Linked DNA regions of Diceros bicornis minor. The protein of the gene in region 3 purifies or fractionates together with the protein of the main gene of each other region. This does not show direct contact. Links are inferred from orthologs where the notes say so. Each region holds a gene or a part of one and is shown on either strand. Other genes may lie near its edges. The genes, in order: COPE, COPZ1 and COPB1.

The links.
Region 1: the proteins of COPB1 (region 3) and COPE purify together in Homo sapiens (affinity purification with mass spectrometry; 6 studies listed by BioGRID and IntAct, with this or other methods). This does not show direct contact. The link is inferred for Diceros bicornis minor from reciprocal best matches to the Homo sapiens genes COPB1 and COPE.
Region 2: the proteins of COPB1 (region 3) and COPZ1 fractionate together in Homo sapiens (co-fractionation; 8 studies listed by BioGRID and IntAct, with this or other methods). This does not show direct contact. The link is inferred for Diceros bicornis minor from reciprocal best matches to the Homo sapiens genes COPB1 and COPZ1.

Annotation. Positions count from the first base shown.
Region 1 is NC_080759.1:6,465,261-6,473,168, reverse strand, and holds the start of COPE (coatomer subunit epsilon), read left to right. Parts: upstream 1-4,895; 5' UTR 4,896-4,946; coding exon 4,947-5,072; intron 5,073-7,908. Other genes in the region: probable ATP-dependent RNA helicase DDX49, read right to left, coding at 99-175, 452-527, 1,211-1,351, 1,473-1,660, 1,983-2,104, 2,192-2,277, 3,495-3,618, 4,463-4,577. UniProt on the Homo sapiens protein: The coatomer is a cytosolic protein complex that binds to dilysine motifs and reversibly associates with Golgi non-clathrin-coated vesicles, which further mediate biosynthetic protein transport from the ER, via the Golgi up to the trans Golgi network.
Region 2 is NC_080756.1:16,083,934-16,091,345, reverse strand, and holds the start of COPZ1 (coatomer subunit zeta-1), read left to right. Parts: upstream 1-4,310; 5' UTR 4,311-4,356; coding exon 4,357-4,374; intron 4,375-7,412. UniProt on the Homo sapiens protein: The coatomer is a cytosolic protein complex that binds to dilysine motifs and reversibly associates with Golgi non-clathrin-coated vesicles, which further mediate biosynthetic protein transport from the ER, via the Golgi up to the trans Golgi network.
Region 3 is NC_080746.1:72,470,111-72,477,446, reverse strand, and holds the start of COPB1 (coatomer subunit beta), read left to right. Parts: upstream 1-4,288; 5' UTR 4,289-4,393; intron 4,394-4,403; exon of another isoform or gene 4,404-4,428; intron 4,429-5,134; 5' UTR 5,135-5,194; coding exon 5,195-5,285; intron 5,286-7,336. UniProt on the Homo sapiens protein: The coatomer is a cytosolic protein complex that binds to dilysine motifs and reversibly associates with Golgi non-clathrin-coated vesicles, which further mediate biosynthetic protein transport from the ER, via the Golgi up to the trans Golgi network.

The DNA.
Region 1 (7,908 bases), on a different chromosome or scaffold from region 3:
GGCTGCGCGACCCTTGCCGGAGGCCACCCTCCCCCTCTGGCCCCTCTGTGGGCACCAGGGGACCAGCGAATGGGAGGAAGTACCCTGGGGTTGCTCACCGGGAGGCCACATCTGTCGCGATCAGGATCCGGTAGATGCTAGACTTGAACTTGGCCAGGGCGGCAAAGCGTTCTTTCTGTGCCGGGTCAGGGAGAGAAGCAGGGGAGCTGGGGTCAGGGGGCATCTCAGCAAACGTTTGAGCACTTAGTGTGTGAGGCCTGGGGACAGGCCGGGACCATCCCCGCCCTCACGGGGTTCACAGCCCAGCAAGCAAGACGACCGTGGGAAGACCAGATGGAGCAGACGACTGGCAGGAATAGGGAGGAGCCTGGGCAAAGGCCCTGAAGCTGGGAGGAGTCCCCAGGGCGAGGCAGATGGGCGACGGGGTCTCTGGGGCAGCCCACCGTCTCACCTGTTTCATCATGGAATGCAGGGCCACGGTGGGGAAGTTGAATTTGCGCAGCATCATGCACAGGATCTGGCAGGTCCTGTGGGAAGGGTGTGCTGTCAACCCCTGCAGCCCACCCCTGAGACCCCAAGCAGGTGGCCCTACACAGCTGGGAAAGGAGAAGCAGGGGTGTGGGGTGTCCTCGCTGGTAACATCCTCTCTGCTGACCCTTTCCCTGGCCTAAGATAACGAGTCACCCCTATATCCAGACGTTTCTGGTAGCCAATAAGTTCTTGGAGGGCAGCAGCCAGTTAGGAGGCCTCCTCAATGCAACGTGGACTGCCCCTCTATCCTAGCTCATACTGGAATAGCCTACATCTTCTTGACATCTCCCCAAAAGCTTCAGAGGAGGAGCCGACTTGAACTGGCTCTAGGGACCCCTGGGATTGCAGAGACAACAGCCTGGGTGCTGGTGCGCTGGGCCTCAGTGACACCCTAGAGCATAGCAAATCTGCTGCAGGGGTTCCTGGGGACAGCCCGAGGCCCCTGGCCCTTCTAGTTAAGGGCAGGTCTGAAAAACCCCAAATCCTGGCTCCAGCTTCAGGAGAAGTGACCATGGCGAATCCCTTGGTCTCTCTGAGCATCCTTGAGAGAGTTCTCTGAAATCTCTGGTCTGAGCAGAGGCCCCACAGCACCGAGTCTGGCCGTGTGCCTCACATCTGCACCTTGGCCCCTCTTGGGCCTCCGTGAAGGGCTCGGGGGGGGGGGCCCGCTCAAGCTCACTTGCACGTGTTGGTGAAAATGATGATGGACCAGTCCTCGTGCTCGTCCTGGAAGTTCTGGATCAGGTGGACCAGGTAGGCATCCTTGATCTTCTCAGGCACCAGCAGGTAGCGCTGATCCAGCTGCTCCACCGTGCGTACCCTGGGGACAGGTGCGCCATGTGTCCCCTTCTGCTGAATGGGGCCAATGCCCCGCCCTGCCCACGGGTAATAGCCTCCATTGGGGATGCCCCCCCACCCCCTGCCTGCGCTGCTGCTCTTACAGGGCCTGAGCCTCCCAGAAGAAGGGCTGGTTGGTGGCCAGGCCCTGCAGCTCCCGGAGCGTGTCGGTCAGTGTGGCACTGAAGAGCAGGGTCTGCCTGCGGGCCGGCACGGCCGCCAGGATGGTCTCCAGGTCCACAGTAAAGTCAGTGCAGCCCTGCTCCAACAGCCGGTCCGCCTCATCCAGCACCTGCGGTGCCGGTGGCGGGGGGTGGGGGTGGATCTGGGGTGAGGGTGCTGTCTGGGGCCTGACCCGCCTCCCCCATGTGCCTCCTTCCCTGCCTTGGATGTGAGCCCTGGAGAACTGTCCCTCTAGGTCTCGGAGGCCTGCTCCCTCACCCATCTTGGCTTCTACGTCAGCTCCTCCGAGAGACCCTGCCCCAACCATCTTCCTAGTACAGGTCCCCTCGTTGGTCCCTGAGTGTCCTTGTCACTGTTCCCAAAGCTCTACTGCATGGCCTGTGGGACGCATGTTTCCCAAATAGATGAATCAGCGCCCCAGGCCAACTCACCAGGAAGCGGATCTTCTTTATGCTGAAGGTGCTGGAGCTGCGGAGGTGGTCTGCCAGGCGCCCCGGAGTGGCAATGACCACGTGTGGTTTCCGGGAGAGCTCCAGGGCCTGAGCCACCATGTCTGTGGGTGAAGGGCGAGAGGTGGGGCTGGGCAGGTGGTCCAAGGCTGCAGAGGGCCACACTCAGAGCCTCCCCGAGCCCTCCGTACCCATGCCGCCTACGATGATGCAGTCTTTCAGGCCCAGAGGCTTCCCCAGGACCCGGAACTGCTCTGCGATCTGGTAGGCCAGCTCCCTGTGGGCATGAAGAGGCCGGGTTGGGTCAGATAGGGGTTCTGTGCCTTCTCCCATTCCTGTCTCCACCCGCCGGCGTCTCCTGACTCACCCTCTCCCGTTCACACACCCTTCAGGGCTCCCAGTCCCCTGTGGTCAAAGGCTCTGATGCTGAGCGTTGGAGGCCCGCTGTGGCCCCTGCACCCTCCCCAGGCTGGGCCCCAGATCAGCCCAGGGCCCTGCCCCCCCCCCCAGTCCCATCCAAACTGGCCTTTCCTCCTCCCACGTCCTCAGCAATGGTCTCAACACCAGTCACCAAAGCCTGAGACCCGAGCATCAGTCCCCCCTCCCCGGGGCTGGTCAGTGTCCAAGTCCCCTCCTCTGTGCCTCAGGCCCAGCTCTGCCCAGGCCTCTCCTCGGCCCCTGTCCCCACTTCCTGGCCTCCTGTCTTGCCCTTTCCTGCTCACACACCTTCTGAATCAATTCTAACCTGACATTCAAGGCCCTTCTCAAGCTGGCTCTAACACACCTGGCCCACAGGACCCTTTCTGTTCCCTGCCTCTCAGACCTCTGCATGAATGCACTAGCAGATCTCTCCGCCTAGAATGCTTTCCCCAAACTTGTCCTCTTGAGAGACCTTTTCCATCCATTAAGGCACCCCTTGAATGAAGCCTTCCTCGACGCCCCCTTCCCTGGCCACGCCCTCAACAGCATGCAGCGCCTGCCTCTTCTGTGGCCATCACAGGACTTGTCATTTCAACTGCCACACGTGTCTGCCCAAGAACTGGAGATGTGTTTACAGTCAGGCATCACTTGACAGGAACCCGTTCTGAGAAATGCGTTGTTAGGCAATTTTATGGTTGTGCGAACATCACAGAGTGCACTTACACAAACCTGGGTGCAGCCTCCTACATACCCGGGCTCTATGGCGCTGATCTTATGGGACCACTGCCATATATGCGGTCTGTTGTCGACCGAAACATCGTTACGTGGCAAGTGACTGTATTTCTTGGGCTGTAAGACTACTGATGGCTCCTTTCCGGCAGTGCCTGCCCTGAGGCAAGCCCTGTGCCCAGCACTTTTGGCACACCGTCTTGTTTAATTCTGCAGCACTCCTATGAGGTGGCCTCGATTTCTGTCCCCATTTTGCACATGGGGAAAGTGTTGCTCAGCAAGGTAAAGGCGCCTGCCTGAGAGCACAGCTGGTTAACTTACCCAGGAGACCTGTAGGGGGCTCACCTGGTGGGTGTCAGGACGAGGCAGAAGATGCCATAGGGATCCTCAGACAGCTTCTGCAGGATGGGCAGGACAAACGCTGCTGTCTTGCCGCTGCCTGTCTTGGCACAGCCCAGGCAGTCCCGACCTGGGCAGAGGGCAAAGCAGCATCAACACACTTTAGGTGTAGACGGGTGTTCCATTTGGCACAGTTGACAACAGCTGACATTTAATGAGCAGTTACTGTGTGCCCAGTACTGCCTATGCCATTTCCCCTCCGAACATACTGACAACGTTCCATTGCTGGTAACTGACAAATTCTAGGAGGGAAAGGCCGTTATCATCCCCATTTAACAGAAGGCAAAAATGAGTCTCAGAGATTTGTCCAGGACACACGGCTGGCTGATGCCAGACTAGACTGGAACCCTCATCCATCTGACCCAATATGCCTGCTACTGACCACTACCTCATTTTGACTCCCTTCCAGAGCACCTGAGCTTGGGGAACCTGGAATGCCCTCCCCAATCTGCATCCTATGCTCCCTGTTAATTCTTCCATCTTTATTTAATCCCTCAAATTGTCTCATCCTAGGCTTCTTGAGGGCCCCTCAGTAATGGCAAATTAGGTCGGGCCAGAAGAGTGGGGAGAAGAGCAGTCACGGGACCAGCGTCCTGGATTTACCAGTAATGTTGACAGCCTCAGTTTCCATTTGTAAAATGAAGATAAGTAGTGCAAACTCTACCAAATCTTCCCAGTACTATCGATTAATCATTTATGAAACCCTCCCTGTTCTGAAGCTATAAAAGTTTCAGAGATTATATCACTTGTGCGAGGACACACAGCCTAACACCAACACTGCCCAGTCTGCCTCCGGAACCTACACTCGCCCGTAACGCCCAAGCCTGCCCCACGCCTCACAGGACCGGCGTGGGCAAAGAATGAGAGGCAACAGGAGTGGAGATGCCTCTGGGAAGAGGCCGGGCCACACTCACCCTCCAGGATGGCGGGGATGCAGCCGAGTTGTACGGGCGTGGGCTGCTTCAAACCCAGCTGCCGACATTGTTCCACCAGCCACGACGACAGGCCGAGCTCCGCGAAGCCGGCCATCCTCGCCGCCAGCCCCGTGTGAGCAGCCGTGTGTAGAGGCGCTTCCGGCGCGTGCTGATGACGTCACGAAACCTCTCCCGTTAATTGGATCCGCCTCCTGCATGGTCCCGCCCTCTCCAGCTCACTCTGCCATCGACCGCATCCTTACCATATTTCCCCGAATCCCATTGGCTCGCAGGATCGAATCAAACTACAATTCCCGAGATGCCCTGCGAGACGCACTCGCGTCCCCCGTACCCCCGTTTAGGCGTCTCCCATTGGCTCATCTCCAGGCCGGAACGAGTGAACTACATTTCCCGGCCCCGCGGTGGCCCCCTGCTTCCGGCCGACGTGTCCCTCAGGAAGAAGAGCGGTTGCGACGATAGCGATATGGCGCCTCCCGCCCCCGGCCCGGCCTCCGGCAGCTCAGGGGAGGTGGACGAGTTGTTCGACGTGAAGAATGCTTTCTACATTGGGAGCTACCAGCAGTGCATCAATGAGGCGCAGCGGGTGAAGGTGCGGCCGCTCCGGGCCCGGGACGCTGGGGGCGGGGACGGAGGAAGCTGCCTGGTGGCCGCGAGTCGCGGTCTGACTTTAAGAACGCTTCCTCTTCTCGCGGCGGTTTCCCCTCACGCATCTCTTGAGAGCGCGGTGAGGAGTTATCTTGTCCCATAGCAAATCTCAGAGCAGTAACAGTTCATAGTGCTTCTCACTCAGAGCGCTCGCTCTGCGTCCTGGAAGCATTGGAGTAAGAGAGGCATTTGTATCATGTAGTAATAATGTTCTCCTTTGTTGAGCGGCCCACACTGTTCCGCCAGACCCTCAATTCCCGTGAAGTAGGGACTGCTGTTTATCCTCATTTTACAGAGAACACTGAGGCTCAAGAGAGAAATGGCTTCCCCGGTGTTATCCTGCCCCACTAGCCCGGTCATTTGTCCCCAGACGTGCTTGTTCAGTTATTCATTCGTTCGTTCCTCATTGAGCATCTCTGTGGGCCAAGTAGTGTATTCGTGCTGGGCTCAGAGCAGTGACAAAACAGACAAAACTCCTAGCATTTTCAGAAACCTCAGCCTCTCAAGGGAGACAGACAGTAAAGGAGTAAATAAACAAGAAGTCAAGAGGTGGCGTGATGGAGAGTGGTGGGAATGAGCTTGGCTGTTTGAGAGCTAGAAAATAGCCCTGCAAGGCAGGGCCCAGCCAGCCAGTGACAGGAGAGGGGGCACCAGGGGCCATTAGCAGCAACTTTTGGGGAGGGACATGATGTTACTGACACTGCGAGAGTGAACCATTGGAGAACTTTTAAGAGCAGTGAAATTGGCAGTCTTGCCTGCCTTCACAGTCTAGTGTTCCAAAGAGAGTAAGCAAGTAAAGAAGCTAGTGAATACGTAGTTACAACTTGAGCACTCTGGGGATGGGGGTAGATAAAAAGTGCTGAGAATGGAGAAGGAGGGTGCTGCTTCATGTGGGAGTGGTCAGATCAGGCCAGGCCTCTCTGATTGTCATTTGAACCTGAGGCTGAATCTTGAGAGGCGTCTGACCCCATAAACTGCTGCAAAAGTGCTGAGGCAGGGATGAGCTTGGCGTAGCCCAGGCATAAGGGGTCAGTGTAGCAGAAGTGGGGCAAGCGATGGGGAGGATGAGAATGAGGTGGGCAGGGCCTTGGGGTCACGGCAGGGCTTTAGATTTTATTCTAAAGGCACAGGAAGCCACTGGAGCACCTAGTGAGAGAGTGGCAGGTGTCTTCACAGAGGCAGCCAGAGAGTTGGGAGGAATTTAGACTCTGAAGTAGAGAAGGCTTGTTTTCCATGCTTTTCGCCTTTTGCAGTGTACCTGATTTCCCTGCACGTCATCTGTATAATGGGGATAAAGCCTCAAACAGATTTCAGAAAGCGGTTTGGATTTCTTGAAATAACGTTTGCATGATTGCATGAGTTTTCTGTTGCCGCCGGGACAAATTATCTCAAACAATAGCTTAAGATGACACAAACTTATCTCAAAGTTTCTATACGTCAGAAGTCCAACACGGCTCACCAGGCTAAAATCAAATTGTCAGGTGGGCTGTGTCTTTTCTGGAGATTCCAGGGAAGAATCTGCTTCCAAACTCATTCAGGTTGCTGGCTCTCTGCCTGGGACCACCTAAGTTACCTCCTAGAAGCTTCTCTCCAATTCTCAACCTCCATGTAGCCCCTCCATCTCAGAACTAGCCGTGGGGTTCTCACAGTTGGAATCTCTCGAATTTCCCCTTCTGCATTCCTTCTGTCTGTTAGCTGCTATCAGCTTCTGTGATTGGGCTGTGCCCTCCCAGATAACCCAGCATAGTTTCCCCCTCTTAGGGTCCATAACCTTAATCACAGCTCTGAAGTCCCTTTTGTGACGTGATGTAAGCTATTCACAGATTCCAAGGACTGGTGTGGACATCTCTGGGCAGCAGGGGTGGGGGGTGCCTTATTTGGCTCACCACCACAATTTTATGTGTCTCTTGGCTGGGGTAGTGTGGGCTGCGAGAAGATTGAGACAGACCTGGGCTCAGATTTCGGCTCTGCTACCAGGGCTGAGTCATTGCACCTCTTTGAGCTTCTGTTTTCCTCTCCTGTCAAATGGGAAAAATGATGCCTATCTCATTAGGGTCACTGTGAGATTCAGTGTTACACTCACATTCCACCTTTTGACTTCTACCGTATGTCTGTTCTGCTTACTTCATAGCGATGTGTTCTTTTGAGTCATTATATGCAGACTATACACTGCTGCTGAAAGGGAGAACCAGCATGACCTGCTGCACATAGAGAGTGTCTGAAAATGAAGATATGGAAACCATGTCAGTGGTCACTTTGGCTGGAGGCACACTGCTCAGCCTCTGAGCTGGGGACCTGCGCCCTCTTTGGCGATGTGATCAAGAGGTGCTGCCACCAAGCCAAGGTGTTCTCCCTGAAGCATCCAGAAGAATGGAGCACTCTCCCCCCTGAGCCATTTGATGTGATTTAATTCTGATCCATAGGCCACCTGAACCGTCCTGGGCAGGCTGTACTGGGTTGAGTGGTGTCCCTGAAAAGATATGTCTACCCAGAACCTGTGAATGTAGCTTACTTGGAAAAAGGGTCTTTACAGATGTAATTCAGTAGGATCTCTAGATGAAGTCATCCAGGATTTAGGATGGGCCTTAAATCCAATGAGAAGTGTCCTTCTAAGAGAAAGGCAAAGAGAGGTTTGAGACACAGACAGAGAAGACAGAGGCAGAGATTGGGGTGATGAGCCACAAGCCCAGGAACACCTGGAGTCCCAGAAGCTGGGTGAGGCAAAGAAGGATCCTCCTAGAGAGCCTTTGTGGGGAGCCACGGCCCTATTGACACCTTAA
Region 2 (7,412 bases), on a different chromosome or scaffold from region 3:
ACCACTATGCCATGGGGCCAGCCCCTGCAACATACTTTTCTTCATTTAACATGCCATTACCTGGGCCGGCCCCACGGCTTAGCGGTTAAGTGTGCGTGCTCTGCTGCTGGCGGCCCGGGTTCGGATCCCAGGCGCGCACCGGCACACCGCTTTTCCAGCCATGCTGAGGCAGTGTCCCACGTACAGCAACTGGAAGGATGTGCAGCTATGACATACAACTATCTACTGGGGCTTGGGGGGAAAAAAATAAATAAAATTAAACAAACAAACAAACAAACCAAAAAAATCATGCCATTACCATTTCTCCAGGTTAAAGCATATGGCTTAACATTCCTTTTTATTAGTTGCATATTACTCCACAGTCTGGATGTAAAATAATCTGTTCAACTATCCTCCTATTGATAGACAATAATGTTATTTTTTGCTATTGTAAGCAATGTTGCAATAAGCATTCTTATATATGTATCACTATGTACTGGGTTATGTTTTTAATTTCTAGGAGGGGATGTACCCATGTTTAATTTTATAGGATGTTGCTATAACACTTTCCAAGAGTGTAAGCTCCAACTCCCATGGTCATCTGGTCCCACTACTTAGGTTTGCATTCAAGGCATTTCACAATCTGGCCACAAAGTACCTTTCCAGTTTTACTCCATCCTCTTCCCTATTTCTTTATTTCAATCCTCTGTGCTATGAAATCAATCCCTCAAAGATTTCTTACACAACTGTGAAGACATTATGCTAAGTGAAATAAGCCAAACACAAAAGGACAAATATTATATGATTCCACTTATATAAGGTACAAGTACAGTTAAATTCGTAGAGACAGAAAGTAAACTAGTGGTTACTAAGGTCTATGGGGGAGGGGAGAACCGAGCGTTATTGTTTAATGGGTACAGAGTTTCAGTTTGGGATGATGAAAAAGTTCTGGAGAGGGATAGTGGTGATGATTGCATAACAATGTGCTTAAGGCCACTGAACTGCACATTTAAAATGGTTAAAATGGTAAATTTTATGTTGTGTATAACACTAAATAAAATATTTTTTTACTTTACAATTTAAAAAGTAAAAAAAAAAAAAGATTCCTTACACATCCCAACCTCCATACCTTTATTCCTACCAAACTCCACCTGTCATTTAATCAATGCATGAATGAATCAAGGCCTAACTCACCCTCTTCTCTTAGACCTTGACCTCCCCCAGCTCCCATCCTCAGGGATCACTCCCTCCTCAGTATCTGTGCCTCTTGATATTTAACCCTGAACTGCCCTTTGACACTGCTCATTCATCTTTGTATCTTGCATTTTTACAAATATTCATTCCATTCAGTAAACACTTACTGTTTGAGGATTTACCGTTTGAGGGCTAGGTGCTAGGGAAATAAAATGAATGGGACAGGGGCCAGCACAGTGGCGTAGCGGTTAAGTGCACTTGCTCGGCTCGGTGGCCGGGGTTCGCAGGCCCGGATCCCGGGCTCGCACCATGCACCACTTGTCAAGCCATGCTGTGGCAGCGTCCCATATAAAGTAGAAGAAGATGGGCACAGATGTTAGCTCAGGGCCAATCTTCCTCAGCAAAAAGAGGAGAATTGGCAGCAGATATTAGCTCAGGGCTGATCTTCCTCACATACACACACACATACACACACACACAAATGTATGGGACAAGGCACTGCCTCAGATGGCAAGTCTGGTGTTATGTTGATGTCTTACAAAATGCCTACGACCGTAAACGATGGCAGCAAGGAGAAAGTGTCCAACTCCACCTGGGACATCAGGGAAGGCTTCATGAGAAGAAGATGTTGATTTTGTTCTTTAAAAAATAGCTCATTTCTCTCCTTTTATTTATTTATTTTTTAAAATTTCATTTATTTATTTCCCCCAAAGCCCCAGTAGATAGTTGTATGTCATAGTTGCACACACTTCTAGTTGCTGTATGTGGGACGCGGCCTCAGCATGGCCGGAGAAGCGGTGCGTCGGTGCTAGCTCGGAGCGCACACACTTAACCGCTAAGCCACGGGGCCGGCCCTATTTTTCTCCTTTTAAAATAGCACCCACACATTTTAGAATACCTGGAAAAATATGGAAACACTGAAAAAAGTCCTACTACTTCAAAACAGCCACTGGTTACATTTTGTTGTGTTTCCTTTCAGTCTTTTCCTCCACTCATTTTTAATAAATTGTTTGTAACCATATATACATGGTTTTATATTATGTGTGTATACATATAAATACATAGAGCGAGACAGAGACAGAGACAGGGAGAGAGAGGGAGAGAGGGAGAGGGAACATATGCATTTTACGTTTGATTGGTTCTTGAAGGTTTTCCAGGTGAAGGGAAGATGGAAACAAAAGGAGCAGGAATGATCACAGAACTTGAACACTAGGTAGGGCCTTAGAAAACTCTGGTCTGAGCCTCCCCATTTTCCAGAAGTGGCAGCTGTAGTCCAGAGAGGGTACAAGGACTTGCCAGAAGTCTCCCACTTATTAAGGCAAAGTCATGACAAGAATATTTCCGATTCAGCTAGTTGTCTTCTCCTCACCACTAACTCCCCATAGTTACTCAATAGGCTGGAGAGCTAAGAATCAGCCATTTTCTGGAACAATGGCTGACTGTTAAAATTTGTCAGTTACTCCACAATCAAAGAAAGAGGAGTCCCCTCCTCCCCAACCAACCACATCACACATTTTTCCTCCTCATGGTCCCTCTAGAACATCTGGCTCTGGTGTAGGGTACTTCAGGTAGGACCGGGACGAAAGAGAGGCTATACCACAAGTCAGAGGAGTGGATTGTGGGTAAGAACATGGCTTTAGAACCAGACCTCCTATGCTCAAATGTAAGGATGCCAGTTAATAGTTGTATGGCCTTAAGTAAATTATTTAACTGTTCCGAGCTCCACTTTTCTCATCCGTAAAATGGGAGTAATAACCATCTACTTCATAAGGGTTTTAAACATATTTTAAATAGTGTATTCAAAGATTTAGCATGTGCCTGCCACATAGTAAGTGGTCAATAAATGTTAATATTAAGCTAGCAAGCCAAGGACAACCTTGTGATGCCAGGCACAGTGCTAAATGCTGGAATAACTCCCCATTCAGAATAGATAAAGGCTAAGCCCTTGTTTCTTCCAGATATGAGGCTTGTCACCTGTGACTTCACCAGAAAGTCATATACTTTCCTTCATAGCATATGTTAGCTCTGTAGTTTGTTTTGTATTGTTCTATACTTTTTTCTTAGGTCCTCTAACTCTACTCTGAAATTATTAGAAAAATTCCTCGTTTTGATGCCCTTCTTGGAGGGCTCCTAAAGACATAATTGTCAGAGATGGGGGGAAAAAAAAACACAAACACTTTGGAGATAATATAAGGCAACAGAAGGTGTCCCTGATCTAAGGGGGATTGGGGACCAAGGAACCGAGAGGTAGGTGAAAGCTAAACTTTATCAAAGCCCTTCCCTATTGTGAAATCCCTGCATTCGGTAAACTTCTCTTTTCTCGTTTTTGCAACGGCTTGTCCCTACTGGAAAACCGCAGACCCTGCTCCCTATACCCTCCTTTATCCTGGACCCTTTACCCCTTTGTCCCTCCTACTCTTTCCTCTTCGGTCTCCAAAGTTCTAACATCCCGTTTCACGTCCGGCCAAAGAAAATCTGTTTTTAGAAACTCACTGGCTGCTTGTCCTTCCCTGGGCCCAGCAAAGCCAGGAACACCACAATGGGGAGATCGTTACTCCAGCAATCAACCTCTGGTGGCCTTGGTTTATCTAGTTAACATGCTGGGCATCTCTTGGCTTTACTCTATGGTTGTGCAGACTTGCTGTGAGGTTGCTGAAGTGACCTGAGAGAGTCTGAGGGGAGAGCTAGCATTGTTGGCCAAAGCAACCATGGATATCAGGGACCTAACGGGGGCTCTTGGAATGGGGATTAGGGTAGGATTCTCTCAGGCGCTGCCAGTGTTAAGGGCTAAAGAGACACAGCGCCCCCTAAAGGGAGTGCGGATTAAAGTTGCTAAATCAGACGGGAGGTATCACATGCCCTTCGCCCAGCCAATCGAAAATTAATAATCGCTTCCCCTGTTCCCCATGGAAACAACCCCGCCCCACTGGCCCTCCCGCCCCGTTCAGGCTTGAGGTTTTGGCGTTTTATTGAGTGTTTAAACTGACAATCAAATACTTGCGCCTTCTGGTTGGGCGCCTTGCTTCCGCTAAGCAAGCTAGTACACTGATTGGTCAGTAGAGCAATAGCTGGCACCTGGTAGTCCAATAACCCCCATCCTGGGCGGCGCCTCATGAGGGCGTAGGGCCAATCAGCGGCGGCGTTGCTTTTGCGGCTCCACGTCGGCACCGGCTGCGGGGCAAGATGGAGGCGCTGATTTTGGTAGGAGCCGGGGGGGCAGCTGGGATACTGCGGTGTCCACAGGGGCCGGGAGTAGGGGTTCAACTTGACTGGGAGTGGGGAGAAAGAGGAGTTCCGGGTAATCCTCGGGGACCGAAGGTTCTGCCGGCCTGTGGAATAAGCGTGTGGCCTAGCGCAGGAGCTAAAGCCTCGGTTTAGAGTAGAAAGCTCCGCCGGGGAGAGGGCAGAGTCGGTGGAAAGTTGAAGGGAGCACGTGGACTCTTTGAGACACATAGGATCATAAGCGCAGTGGATTGGGGTCCTTCAGGTTCCCCCTGATTCTGAGCATTGTGGATGATACCCTGATTTGAGTTTCCCCAAACCTCCAAACTCGCCCCAAATTGTAATAATAGAGGGCAGGTGTTTGTCATCACAGGCTCCTCCTGATGGTTTGACTCTGTGTTGATCATTCCGTCAAGAAACTGTTTTCTTTTTACTTCAGTTTATCCCTTTTATGTGGATTTGTCATGATGAAGAATCAGTATTCCATCCAAGTTCTGGAATACCTGATAGAGTTAGCGTGGATTTGGAATATTTTTCCAGACTCCTTATTCTGTTCTCCTTTTCCCTCCCCCATTTAAACCTTAGGAATTCTTATTGTAGGATCTGGGATGCTAACTCGCCCTCTGGTTATATGAGAATTTTGGTGGCTAAAGGGGTGTATTAGCTCCCTTGTCCATATGATCCTTTTTGCTTGTTTAAACAAATAGAATAACTCCTTCTTTAGAACTGGACCAGAGCATTTCTCTCAAAAGGGCCCTGTTTTGCAATTTGAGGTTGTTAACACACCTCTGTGTAGGAGTTTAGCTTCCAGCTCCTTCCTTGAGTTGAACTCGAGGCCTCTTTCCTGTCTTTTTTTTTTCCTTCAGCTCTAATACATGTACACATTCAGATCCTCAACAGGTAAAGAGAATACGGGTTTAATTCCCCTCTTTCAAAATGGCAAAGATAGAGATAATTCCTTCTCGTCATATGGGTTAGTCAAGTCTAGATAGAAAGCTTAAAATGTGAGTAGTTTTTAGTAAGATATTTTCTATACCAGGCAGTTAACCAGTATTCTTAAACAGTTAGCAGACTGGGAGAAATTCTAGGGAATTGATTTCTTTGGAAGTTTTTAGAAATTTTTAGACTGCTCCCTACATCTGTTTAGAAGGGAACCTGCTTAGAGGTAAAAGAGTGAGAGAGATGATACTTGGGGAGCCCTTTTAACAAGGGATCTGTGTGTTGTGGTGAGTTGAGGGAGTTATATGTGAAAGTCTGTCGGTCACATTTTCTTTGACCTCAGTTCTCTGTCTCTGCTTCCTCAGTGAAGTCTATTTCTTGCTTCTTCCTAATATGCATTTTGATCTGTACCTAAGATGCCGCATTCACAGATCCTTGCTAACCGGGTCAGGTACCCCTGAACTTTGCTTTAAAAACCATACTGATTCTTTGTTGTGAGGAACCTATGTAATAGGGTTAGGGGAAACCCAGGTATAGGGAAAAGAGCTTGCTCAAGGAAGCACAGTGTCAAAATTAGGATTAGATTCTGGTTCCTAATCGTCCCAGAGCAAGTCCCTCTCTGATGATAGCACACCATGGGCTTTCCACCTCTTCTATATGCAAAATTGTACTTTCATCCATCAGTTACATAAAGCTTTTGTTGGGGACGAAGTGCCAACAGGTATCAGTTCTTGTGCTGGTCTCCAGGATTCTTAGGATATTCAACTAGTATTTTCCTTCCTCTGTGTTGGTTCTGTCCAACATTTTTTGTTTTTTGCTCTTTACAATTTGAATATATTTTGAGGCTGCAGAATTTTTGTGTGCATGTGTGAGGAAGATTAGCCCTGAGCTAACATCTGTTGCCAATCCTCCTCTTTTTGCTGAGGACTGTTGGCCCTGGGCTAACATCTGTGCCCATCTTCCTCTGCTTTATATGGGATGACGCCACAGCATGGCTTGACAAGCGTTGCGTTGGTCTGCCCCCGGGATCCGAACCTGCCAACGCTGGCCCGCCAAAGCTGAGCATATGAACTTAACTGCTGTGCCACCAGGCCGTCCTCTGGCCCGCAGAATTTATATACCTTTCTCACCATTCCAGCCCTTCTCAACTGGAGTTCCGGGAGAGAATTAAGCCTTAATGCCCTAAGGCATTCATTGTGTGTTATGAGTCAACTTCTTTCCTCTGTATCCACAAAGGCACTAGTTTCGTACCGCCCATGGGAGAAGCGAGAAAATAATTTAAATAATTTTCGGTCGTTCATATGAGGAACCCTAGTTGAGAATCAGGTGATATTTCCTGAATTTTTATTTCTCTTCTCACTAGACTCACATGCTGGCCTACAAAATTTAGCTCCATCTGATACAGAATCACCCTTCCTCACTGCTCCTTTTAATCGCATCCCTTCGTCTGTCAACTCAGCAGCATCTCCTTATTCTTAGGTTACCATCTTCATTATGAAAAGTATGAGGAATCCCTGGATCTTACCTTACCTCTCTACTGAACTAAAGAGTTTACTGTGCCCAGATGGTGCTTACCAAGCCACTCTTTAGAGAGGACAGACACCTTCTAAAATTCCTTTAGGCTTCCTTCTTTCACATTTCTATTTCCTGGTTTGGCTGGACCTCTGAGGAAATCTGATCAAAGCATATTTTTCTATCCTCACCTCTGCAAGGCACACAGCCATAGGACATTGAGAAGAAGGGAAGGGTAAGCTAGAAGGGGGTCAAGAAGAACCATCAATCGAAATTTGATCCGATTATGGGAATTTCTAAATACCAGTAGGTTCCCTTCATTTAGGTACTTTACAATGGGTCACCTTTCTTTCTTTTTTTTTTTTAATTTTATTTATTTATTTTTTCCCCCAAAGCCCCAGTAGATAGTTGTATGTCACAGCTGCACATCCTTCTAGTTGCTGTATGTGGGACGCGGCCTCAGCATGGCCGGAGAAGCGGTGCGTCGGTCCGCGCCCGGGACGGCCCGGGCCGCCAGCAGCGGAGCGCGCGCACTTAACCGCTAAGCCACGGGGCCGGCCCTACCT
Region 3 (7,336 bases):
GTGATTCTATTTAAAGATTATGTGTATGTGTATCATATTTGTTGTTAATGCCATTGAGTTGATTCCGACTCCTAGCAACCCTGTGTACAGCACAGCTGAAACCTGACCCGTCTTTTTCCTCCATCCTCTCACCTTCCCGTGCCATAGCAGACAATGCTCTGCTGCTATTCATAGGGTTTTCATGGCCAATTTTTTTGGAAGTGGGTGGCCAGGTCCTTCTTCCTAGTCCTTCCTAGTCTGGAAGCTCCACTGAAACCTGTCCACCATGGGTTACCCTGCTGGTATTTGAAATACTGGTGGCATAGTTTTCAGTGTCATAGCAATGTGCAGCAACCACAGTAGGACAGCCGACAGGTGGGTGGTGTAGCAGTGAAAGCACCGAATCAACCTCGAGACCACCAGGGCTGGCTATCATTTTTGTATCTGTTTCTTAAGTGTAAACCATTATTTGGTTGGCGCTCAGCTGAAAAAAAACAGTAATCTGTATTGTACTTTGGGGCAATTTTAGTAATTTTTTCAATATGTGATTTTAGTCATATACACTGACTTTAGACTTTAGAACTCCTCCCCACCCCAATAAAATTCAACCCCACTCTCTGTACAGAGTTCATTGTGATGCCTTTTCATGTCATTTTGTCTAGTATGTTATGCTCTTATTCCATTTAGTTTGTGTTAAATAATTATAAACAATAAAATTCCTAATAATGTGCTCTCATAAAATCTATCACTTTGATATAAAGATAATATTCAATTCACATGGAATTTGTTAAGCATCTATATGTGCATCTTTGAAGAACTGGTATGGTTAAAAATAAGAGGCAGTAAAGTAGGTGACAGGATTCACCTGTCCCAGCTTTTTCAGTGTTTAACCATTTTGTGGTTTGGGGGCAAGTCCCTTTTCTCTAGGCCTTGATTTCCTAGACATTTAAGTTTTTATGATTCTTGGTAAATGACAAAGTCCTTGCTCTCAAATAATTTATAATTTCAAGAGCATTCAAATGATAATTACATGCTAAAGTAAAAATAAGTCCCAAAACAAAATGCATGTTATAACAAGTCAGGAAGAATTAGGCGATATAACGTCCTCATATATGTTCAACAAGCTCTATTTAAGAATATACAACATCTGATAAGGGGTTAATCTCCAAAATATATAAAGAACTCATGCATCTCAACAACAAAAAAACTAACAACCCAATTAAAAAATGGGCAAAAGACCTGAGCAGACATTTCTCCAAAGAAGATATACAGATGGCCAACAGACATATGAAAAGATGTTCAAAACCATTAACTATCAGGGAAATGCAAATCAAAACTACAATGAGATATCGCCTCATGTCCGTCAGAATGGCTATAATTAACAAGACAGGAAACAACGTGTTGGAGAGGATGTGGAGAGAAGGGAACTCTCATACACTGCTGGTGGGAGTGCAAACTGGTGCAGCCACTATGGAAAACAGTATGGAGATTCCTCAAAAAATCAAGGATAGAACTACCATATGATCCAGCTATTCCACTGTTGGGTATTTATCCAAAGAAGTTGAAAACACCAATGCATAAAGATACATGCACCCCTGTGTTCATTGCAGCGTTATTCACAATAGCCAGGACTTGAAAGCAACCTAAGTGCCCATCAAGGGACGAATGGAGAAAGAAGATGTGGTATATATACACAATGGAATACTACTCAGCCATAAGAAACGATGAAATCCAACAATTTGTGACAACATGGATGGACATTAAGGGTATTATGCAAAGTGAAATAAGTCAGAGGGAGAAGGTCAAATACCCTGATTTCCTTCATTAAGTAGTAGATAATAACAATAAACAAAAACATAGAGACAGAAAAAAAATATATACAACAATATATATACTGCCAATGACAATTTTAAGTGCAGACCTAAAATGAGATTTTATAAAATACATTATCTTGGGGCCAGCCCCGTGGCTTAGCGGTTAAGTGCGCGAGCTCTGCTACTGGCGGCCTGGATTCGGATCCGGGCGCGCACAGACGCACGGCTTCTCCAGCCATGCTGAGGCCGCGTCCCACATACAGCAACTAGAAGGATGTGCAACTATGACATACAACTATCTACTGGGGCTTTGGGGAAGAAAAAAAGGAGGAGGATTGGCAATAGATGTTAGCTCAGAGTTGGTTTTCCTCAGCAAAAAGAGGAGGATTAGCATGGATGTTAGCTCAGGGCTGATCTTCCTCACACACACACACAAAATAAATAAATAAATAAAATAAAATTGTCCTTATAAAAAAAGTTTAAAAAAAATAATAAAATACATTATCTTGCCTTTTCATATTTAATAGTTTCCTTAATGACTCAGTCATGATAAGCCTCAAGTTGTAATCTGTAACACAGTGGGCCTCCAGGGCACAGTTAGTCCTGCACCATGCTTGCCCTAAACTGCTGAGCTTTCTTATTGCTAACTCTAGTTTTTATGCTTTTTGGGGCCTCATTTCATGCCAATAGATCATCACTTCTTAATAAGTGGGCTTAGAAACCAGATAACTGCATTTGTAAAAATTCCATGTTAAAAATGAATACACAGAAATAGAACAACCTGTTGTACACACATTTTGGGTTGATCTCAAAGGAATTATGCTGAGTGAAAAAGAGCCAACCTCAAAAGGTTACACTGTATAATTCATTTATATTACATCCTTGAAATGACAAAATTATAGAGATGGAGAACAGGTTAGTGCCATGGGTTAAGGAAGGAAGCGGCTGTGACTATAAAAGGATAGCAGGAGGTATCCTGGTAATGGAATTGTTCTGTATCTCAACTGATGGAGATCACATGAATCTAAACATGGTAAAATTGCCTAGAACTAAATACACAAGTGCATGTAAAATTGGTGACATCTGATTGAGGACGAGTGAATTGTATCAATGTCAATTTCCTGGATTTGATATTGTACTGTAATTATGCAGGATGTTACCACTGGAAAAAATTAGGTGAAGAATATATGGGATCTCTGTATTTATGTCACTCTACAATTATCTCAAGATAAACAGTTTTTAAAAAATGAATGCACAGGATTTGAGGAGCACTCTTAGAAAGTGCAATAAGCACATGGCCTTTGTAATATATTTTGGTTGCTCAAAAAATTTATTTTTACTTTTTACTCAATGTTTCCAAAAAGAAGGAACCTCAAAATAGCTGGATTCTAGATGGGTAAGTCACTATTTGTGTTCTATGTCCCTGAGATGAACCTGTTAATAAGTGCAGGTTCTGTCATACCTCTTTGTATTCACAATATTTTTCTCAAAGACGTCAAAATTTTTTTATTAATAATTGGCCAGAAAAACCTTTTTTTGCGGGGGGGGGGGATATGGAACCTCAAATGAGCTAAACCAAAGATGCCATGGCTGACTGTAGCTGTAACAATTAGGTCTTTGGAGATAGGTAAAATCCTTTAAAACAGTGACTGTTGGGGCCAGCCATGGTGTAGTGGTTAAGTTGGCACCCTCAGCTTCATGGGCCGGGGTTTGGTTCCCAGGCACCGACTTACACCACTCATTGGTGGGAATGCTGTGGCGGAGACCCACATACAAAATAGAGGAAGACTGGCAACAGATGTTAGCACAGGCCAAATCTTCCTCAGCAAAAGAAAAAAAAAGTATTAAAAAAAACAAAACAGTGACTGCCGATCTCCCTTTATGCATAAAAAAATTTTAATCTACTGGGTACTCAGAAAGCATCATGAAAGGGACCGTTAGTAAATAAAGACCAGAAATCATACCAGTGAGACTTGAACATTGAGGCAACTCCAGCCTAACTGCAGAGGCAGAGATTCAGACTATTGCAGATGATAAAAACTGAAATAGATCTTCATATAATCTAGTATCCCTTATTAGAGGAACTGAAGTTACTTTCCTAAATAGTAGTTAGTTACTTTCCCAGTTTATCACTGGGTGAGCTAGAAAAGGGCTTCCAGCTCCCAGTCTAGCGCTCTTTTCCACTGGACCACAAAGCCCTATAAAATGCGTTTCTCCTCTCTCCAAGCACTTCCTCCCCTTGGCTGTTTTAGTTCCTGAAAGAAGAGACAATTTCTAAGCAGCATTTAAATGGTCACAGCACTTAATTCAGGTTCGCAGGGAAAACTTATAAATACGGGTTTCCAGTTCCCTCTGTGGCCTAAGCCAGCCGGATGACACAAGAGGAAGAAACTTCCAGGAAACAGTTGCCGCGCGCAACCGCAGGACGGAGAACGCATGTCCTCTCTGAGTTGCCGTAGGTGCTAGGTGGCCGCGGCCTGGGTCGTCCGCCCACCCCCTTCCACGTCAGCCAAGGAGTCTGCCGAGCCGCCGTCGCTGCTGCAGGTTGGAGCCGGAGTAGACGGTCCCGCCGTTGCCCCCGCTGCTGCCCTCGGAGCCAGGTGGCGGGCCACGAGCCCCTAATCCCGGAGGCGTGGTGGGCTGGGCAGAGTCGGGGGAACTGGCTCTCCTGCGGGAGGATAAGGGAGGGGAAGGAGTAGGCCGCTGGGGCCGCGCCTGGCGAGCGGAACGGGAGGCTGGGCAGCTCTGGACCGGACTCCCCACCCGGCCTGCGCCCTGGCCAGGGTCTTCTCCCTCCCAGGCCCCCGGGGCTCGCCACTTCAGGCCGAGGCCTGCTTTGCAGAAGGAAAGGGACGGAGAAGGAGCGTGGGGGTGCAGCGCACAGATTGAGGGACCCAAGTACACCGACTCGGGCCCCACCGACCAACGCGATGAAGCGCTTTAGTTTTAGCAGAGTATTCGTGCACAGGGTCTCTTAACATGAGCAGTCCAGATTGTGTGTTATGTTAAAAAGTCATTTCTGTAACATGGTGGGATGGGGCTTGGGGACTGTCACGGACGGTATTGTGGGCCTATCCTGCAGTACAGCACTCTAAACTCTGGGTGGGGTTGTGGGGTGGGAGGTAATATGCCTCAGGCCAAGGCTGACAAGTGTTTTTTATTATAATAGGCTTTATTTTTATAGTACGCAGTATAGATTGACTCTGCCCTTCTAATACTTTAATAAAAACTCATAAACAAAACTGATTGAACTTTAGACAGTAAAGATCACGATAGTTACTGGTTGGGTTTCTGTTTTTGTTTTTTTACTTGTAATGATATCCTTGTATTTATTTTTCTAGATTTTCTGGCATCTGTCATCCTTAAATCTTGTATCGAGGGTTGATTTATAACCGGAAACCATGACGGCTGCTGAGAATGTGTGCTATACGTTAATTAACGTGCCAATGGATTCAGAACCACCATCTGAAATTAGCTTAAAAAATGATCTAGGTAAACTTTGATAATATTTGGAAAATATTAAATGGAAAAAAATGAAAAGAAAAAGCTCATGTGTACTTCAAGTTCTTTATAATTAGAAATGCTTAGCTTTTGTCTAAATATTTTTTTCTAGGATCTCTTCAATAGACCTTTTGTCTTATTAAAAATGAAAACTTGCTACCTTTAGACTTGTAGTATTTGTTTTTGGAAATAAAACATCTCAGTTTAGCTTAGTAAAGCTAAAGAAATGTAATAGTTTAGAGGCTGGCCCAGTGGCGCAAGCGGTTAAGTGTGTGTGCTCTGCTACAGTGGCCCAGGGTTCGCTGGTTCGGATCCCGGGCACGCACGGACGCACTGCTTGTCAAGCCATGCTGTGGCGGCGTCTCATATAAAGTGGAGGAAGATGGGCACGGATGTTAGCCCAGGGCCGGTCTTCCTCAGCAAAAAGAGGAGGATTGGCAGATGTTAGCTCAGGGCGGATCTTCCTTCCAAATAAATAAATAAAAATTAAAAAAAAAAAGAAATGTAATAGTTTAGTTGTTAGATATTCTTCAAAATAACATAATGGCTTGTGTCGTTTAATGCATTATGCTTAAATGTAGCTGACAGTTCTCTGTAGGTAACAGGTTGAGAGTGTGTATTTGAATGTCTTAGTTCCTTTGTGCTCTTAACTTCGTGTTACTTAGCTTGTAAAACCAAAAGAACTTGGTTCTTTGGGTTCACCACCTGTTGAATAAATGAAGTCAACACTGGAATACACATGTGTTTTGCAGGAAGGTTTAAGCTTTTCATTTTTAAAGCATTTATGCAAAGAAGAAAACATATTTCTTAATTTTAACAGTGTATGCTGTGTCTCCTTTTTGTGAGTGATTGTCAAAAAAATTTTTTTAAATAGTGCACATTCCAAAATAATGATTGTTTAATTGAACTACTAAAAATAAGTTAAACTGATAACTACTGTTTAAAACTGAGTGCAAATTACGCTTCAAATCTCTGGTTTGCAGTTTGAAAGGAGACAATATTTTACTTGCGTATTTCCACCTCTCAATCAGCAGTAATGGAATACCTCCTGATTTTAGGTTACTTAATATTAGGTTCCTATTGAGGTCTATTTTTATTTATTTATTTATTTATTTTGTGAGGAAGATCAGCCCTGAGCTAACATCAATGCCAATCCTCCTCTTTTTGCTGAGGAAGACTGGCCCTGGGCTAACATCTGTGCCCATCTTCCTCTACTTTATATGGGACGCCTGCCACAGCATGGCTTGACAAGCCGAGCCTCAGTGCATACCCTGGATCCGAACCCCGGCCGCCAGCAGCAGAGCTCGAGAACTTAACCGCTGTGCCTCGGGGCTGGCCTCAAGGTCTATTTTTAGAGAAGGACAAAGAAACCCTCTTTTGTGACGTTTAAACTGATACTCCTTATATACAAAAGCCACATATATTTCCTTTTCTTCCCCCATATTTATGTAAGATAGAATAGAATGCAAGTTAATGAATACGCTTTCGTTGCTACTTTTTTCTTATAATTTAAAACTTTTCATTTTTAGACCCCCAAATTCCTTAAAGTTATAGCTGGGAAGATAAAAAACAAAAATCTGTCCTTAATTGTAACCATACTCTTTTCTTAACTACTCTCCCCCTACCAATAAATAAGTAAGTAGTCTTGAATTTTATGTATATTTTTGACTTTCTCTCAAAAGAGTTGAGATGAGACAAAGTTTGGAAGTAGTTTCCAGTTTGAATAACAAATATTTTTTTGTTTCGTGAAACATTGAGTTGCTTTACCTACGCTTTTCTTTACCGTTTATCGCTGGGTATGAGCTCTGATAGCTATACATTCCCTGGAGTAGGACATACCTAGTGTATTTTGATGAATTGACTTGATATTTGAAATTTTCAGTAGTGTTCATAGAGGAAAATAAGTTCTGAAAATTTTGAATATGTGGAAAGAAGCATCCTTCACCTCAATTTGAATTGTTGGAATAAATGGAAATTGGGGTTAGGGGGGCTGTATAGTTTTTTTTACAAGTTTGCTGTTCAACTTACTTTTAAGACTTTTT